2 linked regions of the Drosophila melanogaster genome follow. The protein of the gene in region 2 interacts with the protein of the main gene of each other region in a pairwise test. Each region holds a gene or a part of one and is shown on either strand. Other genes may lie near its edges.

Region 1 (5,041 bases), on a different chromosome or scaffold from region 2:
ATGGCACCTCATAGCCACCGGATGAGTTCAGCTGGGGAAACACGGTCTGCGGCAACGTGTCCACCGGCAACTGGAGGGCCCTCTCAAAGTGGCTGGGTCCGGGCAAAAAGGGCGACGGACCGCGGTGGGGCATCAGATCCGGAGTGACCGGCGGCAAAGTGGAGTTGCTCCGAGATCCAGGACCTGCCTCCTGAGTTGCACCCTGCGTGTAGGCGATTTTGTTGTCCCTGCAATTTAGAATTATTAATATTTGTCATATCACAGACCATACAAAAGAAAAATCAGTTCCTAACGTTTCTTAGTGCAAATTGATCCAAGACGAAGGTTTCCTTTTGGCAATGGAGTAAAACTTAAGTTAAGTTTTTTATACTATGACTATAATCAACTAACTTTTATGATGATAAAAGCCCTGTTTAAAAAACAGAAAACTAAAATGAAGGTGTTCTCTTTACTCAATACACTTGACACTCGTAGAAGAAATTGATGTTAAACATACGGAACTGATTGGTATCTTTGATGCAGATACACGGATTTCCTGGCTCACCTGTGCACCACCAGGCGGATCTCGTTGCCAGCGCCGCGGAACAGCTGCTGTGCATCCGCATGACTCAGGTCGCGTGCGTCGTACTCGCCGATCTTCGAGATGATGTCGCCTCTTAGAAGTTCGCCATGCGCTGGGCTGCCCACTTGCACCTGCAACGGGTGGGGTGGAAAAGGAGGTGGGAAGGTCATTAGACACACATAGTATAGGGTGCAACGGGCTGGTTGCAACCTTGACACAGATTTATGGGTGCCTAAATAGATGCAGACAGAATTATGATCGCCAAAATGTGTGTGTTTACATCGCAGCTCAGTGAAAAGGGGGTAGGTAGGAAAAGTGGAAATTTTCTTCGACTATTCGGTTGCGCCTCAATTAGTTTTACTGGCGTCGCATTTTGGCAACGCTGCAGCGTTTATTGTTGCTGTGCCCGTTTCGCTATTTTGATTTGTTGTTGTTTATTTGGGCGCTGAGAACAAAGCGGCATGCGGGGCACAAAGGCCAATCGCTTTTCCTCAGGCATTTCTTCTCTGGCTCAATTTTGATGAATGGACCACAAGCGACCACAAGGCGACAGTCTCTCTGGTTATATAACGCCCATTTACCCTGGTGATAATTAGCGGCGTGTCCAGATCGTTGCCGCCCACCAAACGAATGCCCCAGGGCGTGGCCTGACCATCGCGCAGTAGCACCACCGCAAACTCATGCAGCTTGGGGCTCATCCTGATGTTGAAGATAGACTGGAAGATCAGACGCTCATCCGATCCAGCGATGGTTTATCCCGAAAATATATATTTATTTTTTATTGTTTATTTTTTTTTCTGGCCTTTTCTGGCCGAGCCGCAGGCGGCGCGCGATTGCAATCCGTTAAGCGTTTTGTTCGATCGCAAAGCTGCTCAAGTACTAATTTTAAAATACAATTCGTATTCCTTTTTGCAGCAACAGCAGCGGCAGCAGAGTACACTGCGCCACAAGTTTGTTTCTTACATACACATATGTACATACATGTACAACTTATATCCGCCGGCAACGGCGACTACATGCTGAGAAACATGAATTCGATTGGCGAATCCTAATCGTTAAATGGGGTTTCCGCTAAGAGCACTCTGAATTTCTCAGAGCGGATGTCGTGGATTCAAAAAGCATCAGGAGCATTTACCTCGGCAAAGCTCATAATTACCACAAGATAATTAGGCGTATACTTGATAAGCGGCTGCATATCAAATTACGCATACGCAGTGTTAATAAACATGATTGCTTGCATGTGTGCCATGTATTTAAAGCTTTACTATTTTCATTATTATATATACCCAAATCGCGAAGAGCATCCGCAAGCCACCACAAACTCAAACCTTTTCCCACATTGTTCCCATTGTTTAATTCGACGTGTGCCCTGCATTTGTGGCATTCTGCATTTCGTTGACCACATTTTAGGGCAGCACTTGATCCAGTTGCACGCTGACCCTGAAGAGATGAATGCCACATATCATCATCTAGGCGAATGCTTTGATGAGCTAGCTCGCCTGATGCAAAAAAGCATAAAAATCAAGTATCTAGGCATCTGTTTTTCCTCGACATTTTCGACTATTTTATTAGTGTTTTATTCCTCTCCGACTTGTTTGCCGAACGATGAGGCAACCAAGAGAGAGTGTAATTAGTTTTAGTTACTGAGGCGGTACTAGCACAACTGCAACAACCAATTCGACACTCTTGCCCAATTTAAATAAGCAAATCATATTAGATTTTTAATGCATTAGTCAATGGAAAAGTCTACGGCCAACGTGACGTATACGCAATATGAACGGGTCAACGGTTGAAGGACGTTGGTTTGTATTAAACATTCTGTCTGCCTCTCGATTTTGGCAACAATTTTACTGTTTACAGCGGAAAAATCTTTTCCTGCCTTTTGGCTTTTCGCTGAATATATACACAATATATGGCTTGCCATTTCATTTTTAATTTTATACATTCTGATTTCGGCACTTTTTGGCTGGCTCTTGAAATGTTTTTACTATTTGCGGCTTGAATTGTTTTCATTTCATTTTCAATTGGAATTCGTGTAATGTTTTTACGGTGACTTTTGCTGTAGATCAGCCTTGAGCGGATTGTAAATCATTCGAAATTCTTCACCCAACGTCTTGCGAATGGTATAAAAGTCATGCCAATGGAAATATAGATCCATCCATCTTTTTTGGGCCATTTTACTTGACCGAAAAGTGCAGCAGTGGCCAATTAATTAGATTTGGCTTGACAAATTTACGAGCCGCAAGGGGCGAAATGTTATTGAACTGATTTCTGAGTCGGCCTGTTGTGAATTGGGGCCACAAATACATTGGAATACGAATAAGAAAAGAACACACGCGCGATGATTGACAAGCCGGGCGATTTGAAAGGGGTTGGGGCTTCCACTTTTCTCGGCCACTTGGACTTACCCCCACGTTTTGCTCATCGGCAAAATGGACGCGCTTCTTCAGTCCGCTGCTGCTGCGCCGCCTGCAGGGCGATGGCAGCGGTACGAGCGGCGGTTTTGGGGTCGGCTGTGGACGATAGGACGTGGGCAATTCGTAACCGGGCACCTTCCAGAAAGCCGGTCGACTGAATGACGCGGACGCCGATGATCTGCTGGTCGTCATTGCTGGCCAGCGACTAGAGTAAACAAAAGAAATGCTCCGCACATTCAGAAATATGCGCTAAATTCTACGATTCGAACGCGTCTGCTCGCGACTGCGTGTGTGTGTGCACTAGTAGGCAATTGAAAAATCAAATAAAAGCGGAGAAAAAATCAGAGAAAATGAGCGAAAACAGAATATTATTATTCATTCAAAATCCAGTGAAATAGTGAGACGCGGAGAATTATGAATGGATTAATTGATGTTTCAGTTAGTAAATTTGATTGAGCAAAGAAAATACATACAAGCAATATCTAATAATCATGATTTAATCATTTTCATTTACAATTTAAACAATAGCGCCTTCAGCTTTACAAGATCTGGCAACCAGCTTAAAAACAGTTTTTCAATTAATTAATTAAAAAGAACAATACAATTAAGACAGAAGGTAATTACATACATTTTTACGAGGACAGTAAACCATTTAAAATTTCGATTTATTTATAAAATTTAATCGTTAAAAACTTTGAATTTTACCGCCCAATGCACTCAAAAATCGATAGTCGCAGAGAATAATCGATTAGAGCTCGAACCATCTGGCAACGCCCATTGTTTTGTTGTGTTTTATACCTGCAGATTTCACCCAGCATAAAACTGAGATAAAGCTTTAATTAATTACACATAGGGGTACTGCAAGATCTCAGCATAGCCCCGCCCACATAAAGCCGCAGCATGTCTATTTTCAAGGCGCGGTAAGCTGTTATTCTAAGCTAATCCAAACTTCTCCGTAAACAAAGACTTTCTCTAACCAAAATGCAGAGTCAAGGAATTTGAGGATGTTTTGGCGGGGCCACAGGATTTAATTGACCTGAAACAACTCAGGAAACTGGCATTTAATGGTAGAAAGCTAAGAGTGCATTTGAAATGTTCAAAATTTGAAGTCTGAGCACTCCACAGGTGTGCCCGATGTGCAGAGTTTTCGAGCACTCAGTTGGAAGCTACTCCTTGGCTATTTGGGGCCTAGGCGCAGTAGTTGGACCACAACCTTGGCCCAAAAGCGAGCCCTGTATAAACAGTTCATCGAGGAGCTAGTCCTGCCCCCCGGACACTCGAGCAATAGAGCTAGCGTAGACGGAGGAGATGGGGACAAAGTCGATTCGGGGGGCGTTGGCCTGCAAGATCATCCGCTGAGCGAGGGACCCGAAAGCGCGTGGAACACGTTCTTCAATGATAACGAGTTTCTACTGCAAATCGACAAGGATGTCCGCCGCTTGTGCCCGGACATATCCTTTTTCCAGCAGCCCACCGATTATCCCTGCGAGATTGTGGTCCACAGCAAAGGAGAGCATGGACGAAGGCTCCACGAACGGGTGGTTCCCGCCGTTCTAAGTTCGGCGAATGTGGAACGCAAGGGCCTCGGCATGACAAAGGTGAGTTCAAGATCGGAATTGTGCTAGACAATAAGCTCAGAATGTGTTGTTTCATTCATGCATACCGTGTGGATTTTAGCAGCAAGTAAGTAAGCCCATCTGGAACTGCCCCAAACCTAATGAATATGTGTGCTCTATATAGATAAATTTGATTACAAAACGCTCCGTTGAAAACTATGCCGCCATGGAGGAGGGCCAAGAGGCTCACTGGGAAGTTGTGCAACGCATTTTGTTCATCTATGCCAAACTAAATCCCGGCCAGGGATATGTCCAGGGCATGAACGAAATCGTGGGACCCATTTACTATGTTATGGCCTCCGATCCTGACCTCACATATCGCGCCCACGCTGAGGCTGATTGTTTCTTTTGTTTTACCGCCCTGATGAGCGAGATAAGAGACTTTTTTATTAAAACACTAGACGACGCAGAAGGCGGCATCAAGTTCATGATGGCCAGGCTATCGA
Region 2 (4,819 bases):
ATTTTATAATTTGTTCAGCGCAACGTGCATGGCCAAAATAAATATTTTCCCTTCGTTAAATTCATAAACAAAACTCTGGAATGGATGGGATGGAATGGCATGGGTATGAGATGCCATGCGGGTTTCCCCACTAAAACCCTATCCCAAAGTGCCGACTCAATCGCAATCTCTCGATGGGTTTCTGTGGCTTTTGCCGCGGCGATGAAACCAAAAATTGTTTGCCAGTCACGTTTGTGGTGCAGAAAGAGCAGTGGCAGCAGTGGTACCCATTACCCATTTAGCAAAAAGTAAAAAAAAGGGGTATGGGGGGGAGGGTTCAGACAATTCGAGTTGCGTTGAGTCTGCACTTCTTCGTCGAAGATTTCGCGTCTGTGGGCGTTTATTTTCAACGCACTGCGGTTATGTAATTGCGAGGCGTCGGATACGTGATTACTTTTAGTCAAATTGCCGCTCGAATATTGTGTAATTCCGCTCGACTCCGCTCGCCTCCTCCACTTGCGATTTCATATCTGTGCGAAAGTGTGCCATCGCAGTTGTTGGCCAGGCGAAAGTGATTAACTTGTTGGCAGAAGTTAAGGTCAGGGTTGCACACCTCACAAGTGCTTTTTAAGTGGGAGCAATAACAGAGCACTATAACTTAGTAAATCGATAAGGAGAGCTAATAGTATCAGTCTGTATAGCAATAAATGTATTTATTTATGCTATATATTGGGAAGTAAACATTTGAAGAAATTGTTTCTTTGCTGAGATGATATCATTGGCTGAAATAGCACACCTTCTTTCCTATAGCCAAGCACTGCATTTAAAAATTCATTATAGAAGTTCTTTTAAAAGCCATATAGCATATAGCATATGAGATTCAAGATCAGAAGGTCGAAAGGGGTCATATCTCAATCTACTCCTACAACCATTCCCAGGCAAGAACCTTCCATTAACGTATGTTTAAATATTCTTGAATCATTATCATCGGTCGGGTTTTGCGTTGTTTCGCCACCTTTTTTTTTTTTTTTTTTTTTGTTCTTTTGCTCTGAGTGACATACGAACCCTGAAGAATAAACAAAGATACAAAGATACGAGAGAAGTGCTTGTCTCAGCAAAAGGAAAGAGAATGCAATCTACCATGACAGTTCACGAAGGTTAAATTCTTGAGAAATGATTTGGTGGCAATCGTAGAGACCGCAGAGAATTTGCAAAAAGCAAAAGCGGCCAATGAGAGAGCGAACTAATTAAAATATACGCAAAGCTGTTTGAAATTTGTAGAGCATGTCTCCCCTTTTTTGCCCCATCGCTCAGTCCCCCGCGATGGTTGCAATATGTGCACGAATCCGAGTCAAGTGAAGCCAAGCCATGAAATATTGTCACGCACCCAGGAACGGAATGGGATAGGATAGGAATAGGATGTGCACGAGAAGTGCCATTCTAATGAGCTCAGCTACATTTCCACGACGGCCTTAATTTACGATTCCCGGCCGAGAAGGAATTTGCTAGTATTTTTCAGCAGTGAGAAAAAATTTAGATACAATTCTGTTTACTAAAAGAACTCGACTTAAATAATTAAACGAACAGTCAGCTCTTTGTTTTCGGTGTATTTTCTAGTGCACCCATCATCCTCTGCGTAATTAATTCCGCCCTGGACTGATAAACCCCAGTGTAAACAAAGACATTTCATTCATCGAAAAAGTGGTCAGTGGCAATGGCTATTAGCTCATTCAAGTTTATAGAACCACTATCTTATCGGGCATTGATTCACGGATGTTGTGAGGCGTTGTAAGATTGATTCGGTCGAAGTGGCGATTGCTTTACAGCTATTATTGGTGAGGTGACCAAACATTAGTTTAATCGCTAGATAACAAGGTGGGTGATTAATCGATTTCGTCGTTTTGTTGGGGTTCACTGAACCCAGGCTAAAAGAAAGCCAGAAGATAAACGGACACAAGAACAGGGCGAGTATCAACAAGTTTTGGTCATGGCTAAATTACATCACAGGCAGACTGCTGGTGGCCTGGCAGGAATTGGAAATGGCAAATGGAAATGGAGAGCAACCACTGCGTATACGTGATGTCAGCGGCAGTGAGAGTGAGCGAGAGCTGGCGAGGTAGGCAGAGAGAAAAGGAGAGAGCGATTGCTGAAAATCGCTGAAAATAGATCAGGCGAAGAGGAAATCCGAAGAGCAGCCACGAAAATCGCAAACGAAAATTGCCAAGATAACGAAAGACACTTTTCGAGGAGGCGACCTAGAGAGCTGGTCTGGCTTCATTAATATGCGATGCTTTATGCTGTCGCCGATATATAGTCTATATAGCGCTCAAAACGTTTTGAAAATGTCTCAGAATTTGTGGCGCCAAACCGCAGCAATTCGAGCATAGAAAGGAGGCGCAGGAGGTGGTGGCCGCCACATTCGCAGCACTTTCGCAATTTGTGTATCTGTATCTGGCAGATATTGTATCTGGCGGATGGCTGCTGGCGAACGGCGCTGACTGACTGACTGAGCGAGAGTATTCGGAAACAAATCCAATCCGCGCAGCCATTTCGAGGAGCTATAAATAAACTCACCTTGAAAAGTTTCTAAAAATTTTCTCGCTTTTTGACTATATAATTTTATTCAATTTCAACGAGCCGAAGATCTACAACGTATCTGTATCTCTGTATCTGTGCTCTGGCCAACAAATGTGATATATGCGTCAAAAGAAATTCCCTGGATCGGCGTGCCAAGAAAATTATTTACCAATCGCCTATATTATTCGCGCTGAGTCTTCGGTTTCGTAAGGGACTTTACTTGTTGTTAACCTTCACAAAATGCACACAAGTCACTATTTAGTGGACGAATGGTGAGGGAGAGGGGCGGTGACTGTCTCTGATATTGATTCTGATTCATCAGCGATCCTGGCGAATCGATTGCGGCAGGCTATTGTATAACCAGCTGATTTCTACTTAACCGAATGTCTGATTTCACATGCGACCTGGTACTGACCGATTTATTCCGATCGGGTGGCTTTCTGCTGGGATTCGATTAGATTCGATTCGATACGGTTTCGATTTGATTTGATTTTTACTGATTTGGACTTGGATCTCGGTTTCGTATATTCGTGACGTTTGTGGTGCACTGCCAGTTCAGTTCTTGGGCGACGTTAACTAAGCGACGATTTTCTCTCAACTAAAGCAAAAACCGAAACCGAAAATTTTTATGTGCATTTTGTGCCGTTTTCGAATACAAAAATCTTTTCAACCACATCGCTGCCGTCGCAGTCGTCGTCGCTGCCGGCGTCGCTGCTTTTGGGCCGTGCGAGAGGCAGTGGCAGTGGCACAGTCTGGCTATATAGCATCTATATAGACATTGTCGGTTCTCAATTCCCAACCGATACGACGGCAGAGCCGCAAAGCTACAAAACGCCAGACGACGGCGACGGCAACGGCTGCCAATGTCTGTCTGGCTTTTGTGGCCCACTGTTTTGTTGTTGTTCCTGGTGCGGGCTATTCTTTTTGTTATTTGGCTAATTGTTTGTATTTTGTTTTCATAGCCAAGCTTTTAACGGCGCAGCCAGCCAAATGCCCATGTGCAATCAGTCCGTTTCGGGGCTGTAACTTATAGTAATCCTATAATTACATCTAGTTAAATGGGATAAACAATTTGCTGAAGGGCTCAAGTACAATTGCCCAAAAAATAAATCCTTAAGTAGGATAATTTCATTATCTATACTTTAGATATACATAAAGTTTCAATGATCTCATATTATTGTTTCTTGTCATGAATGTACTATGCGTATGAAACGCACATTTGGCACATCTCTTTGAAGTTGAAAGCAAGTGCAGGTGCTGAACTATTTCCCGTGATCTGTTTTCCTCAAAACCACAACAAAGTGTGCAGCTAAATGGGAACAACAACCCCGAATAATCTGGGGAATTTGGGTCACAAAAGATCCTAAGTGCGTGAATCAGCGGTGGTGACTCCATCCGAGCTATGATCCATCCGATCCATTATCCATTTCTCAATAAACAATTAATCATTCCGTCGGGGTCACACATCCCTCATACCCAATGCATGCTTCTTTTAAAGATCGCAGGTCCAAAAACATACTCTCGCTAAAATGAAATTTCCCTAAATTGAATTTCCAGTGCATGAAAAGTGAGCCATAAAGCATTAATATGTTAAAATGTAGCCATAGCGCAAAGCTTACAAAAATAAACGCAAATATGTTTTTGCCAGCGCTGATGTGCTCAATCAAGCAGCGAAATGAAACGAAACGAATTGAATCGAATCGAGGCAAACAATCCACCAATCCACCAAAAAACAAAAAAAAAATGGACAGGAAAACATGGACGACTATGTAGATAAATATGTATAATATAATATAATATTTGGATGTTTTATGCCGCGCGTATTTGTGTCTACATCACATCACATAGCGGGTGGCATAAAAAGCTCAGGCGGGTTAAACAAGAACAGCAAACAAGTAAACAAATAATAATAAACCAACCCGCCACCTAACTATGCCGACAAAAAACATTTCGGCTTTTTAATTAAATCATGTTGAGTGGCAAAAATGATAATAAAGAATCTAGCGCAATTCAATCAAAATCACTAACAAAAAACACTGTTCTTGCGGTTTTTTATTACGCATTTCGGTCAGGCGATTAAGATACGAAATACCGAGATACGGGCGTAATTAAGTTTAAAGACCGCATCTCGGCGATCTTTCGTTTTTATGTTTTAATGACAACGGTGACAACGGTTAGTTACACAATAACTTGCGGTTAACACTTTTGCTTTTTATACCAATGCGGTTTAATTGCTTAAATCTGTCTTTGATATTCGGGGATG

Evidence for each region.
Region 1: the proteins of Zasp52 (region 2) and Zasp66 interact in a two-hybrid assay, tested with the Drosophila melanogaster proteins (one study listed by BioGRID).

What each region holds. Positions count from the first base shown.
Region 1 is NT_037436.4:8,622,613-8,627,653, reverse strand, and holds the start of Zasp66 (Z band alternatively spliced PDZ-motif protein 66), read right to left. Parts: upstream 3,284-5,041; 5' UTR 3,172-3,283; coding exon 2,971-3,171; intron 1,446-2,970; exon of another isoform or gene 1,261-1,445; coding exon of another isoform or gene 1,144-1,260; intron 694-1,143; coding exon 545-693; intron 228-544; coding exon 1-227. Other genes in the region: GAPsec (GTPase activating protein, SECIS-dependent read-through), read left to right, coding at 3,880-3,899, 3,967-4,046, 4,105-4,577, 4,720-5,041.
Region 2 is NT_033778.4:15,811,758-15,816,576, forward strand, and holds the start of Zasp52 (Z band alternatively spliced PDZ-motif protein 52), read right to left. Parts: upstream 3,161-4,819; 5' UTR 2,972-3,160; intron 1-2,971. UniProt on the Drosophila melanogaster protein: Regulator of cell matrix adhesion having two related functions, one upstream of Actn organizing the Z line and the other downstream of integrins regulating assembly of integrin adhesion sites.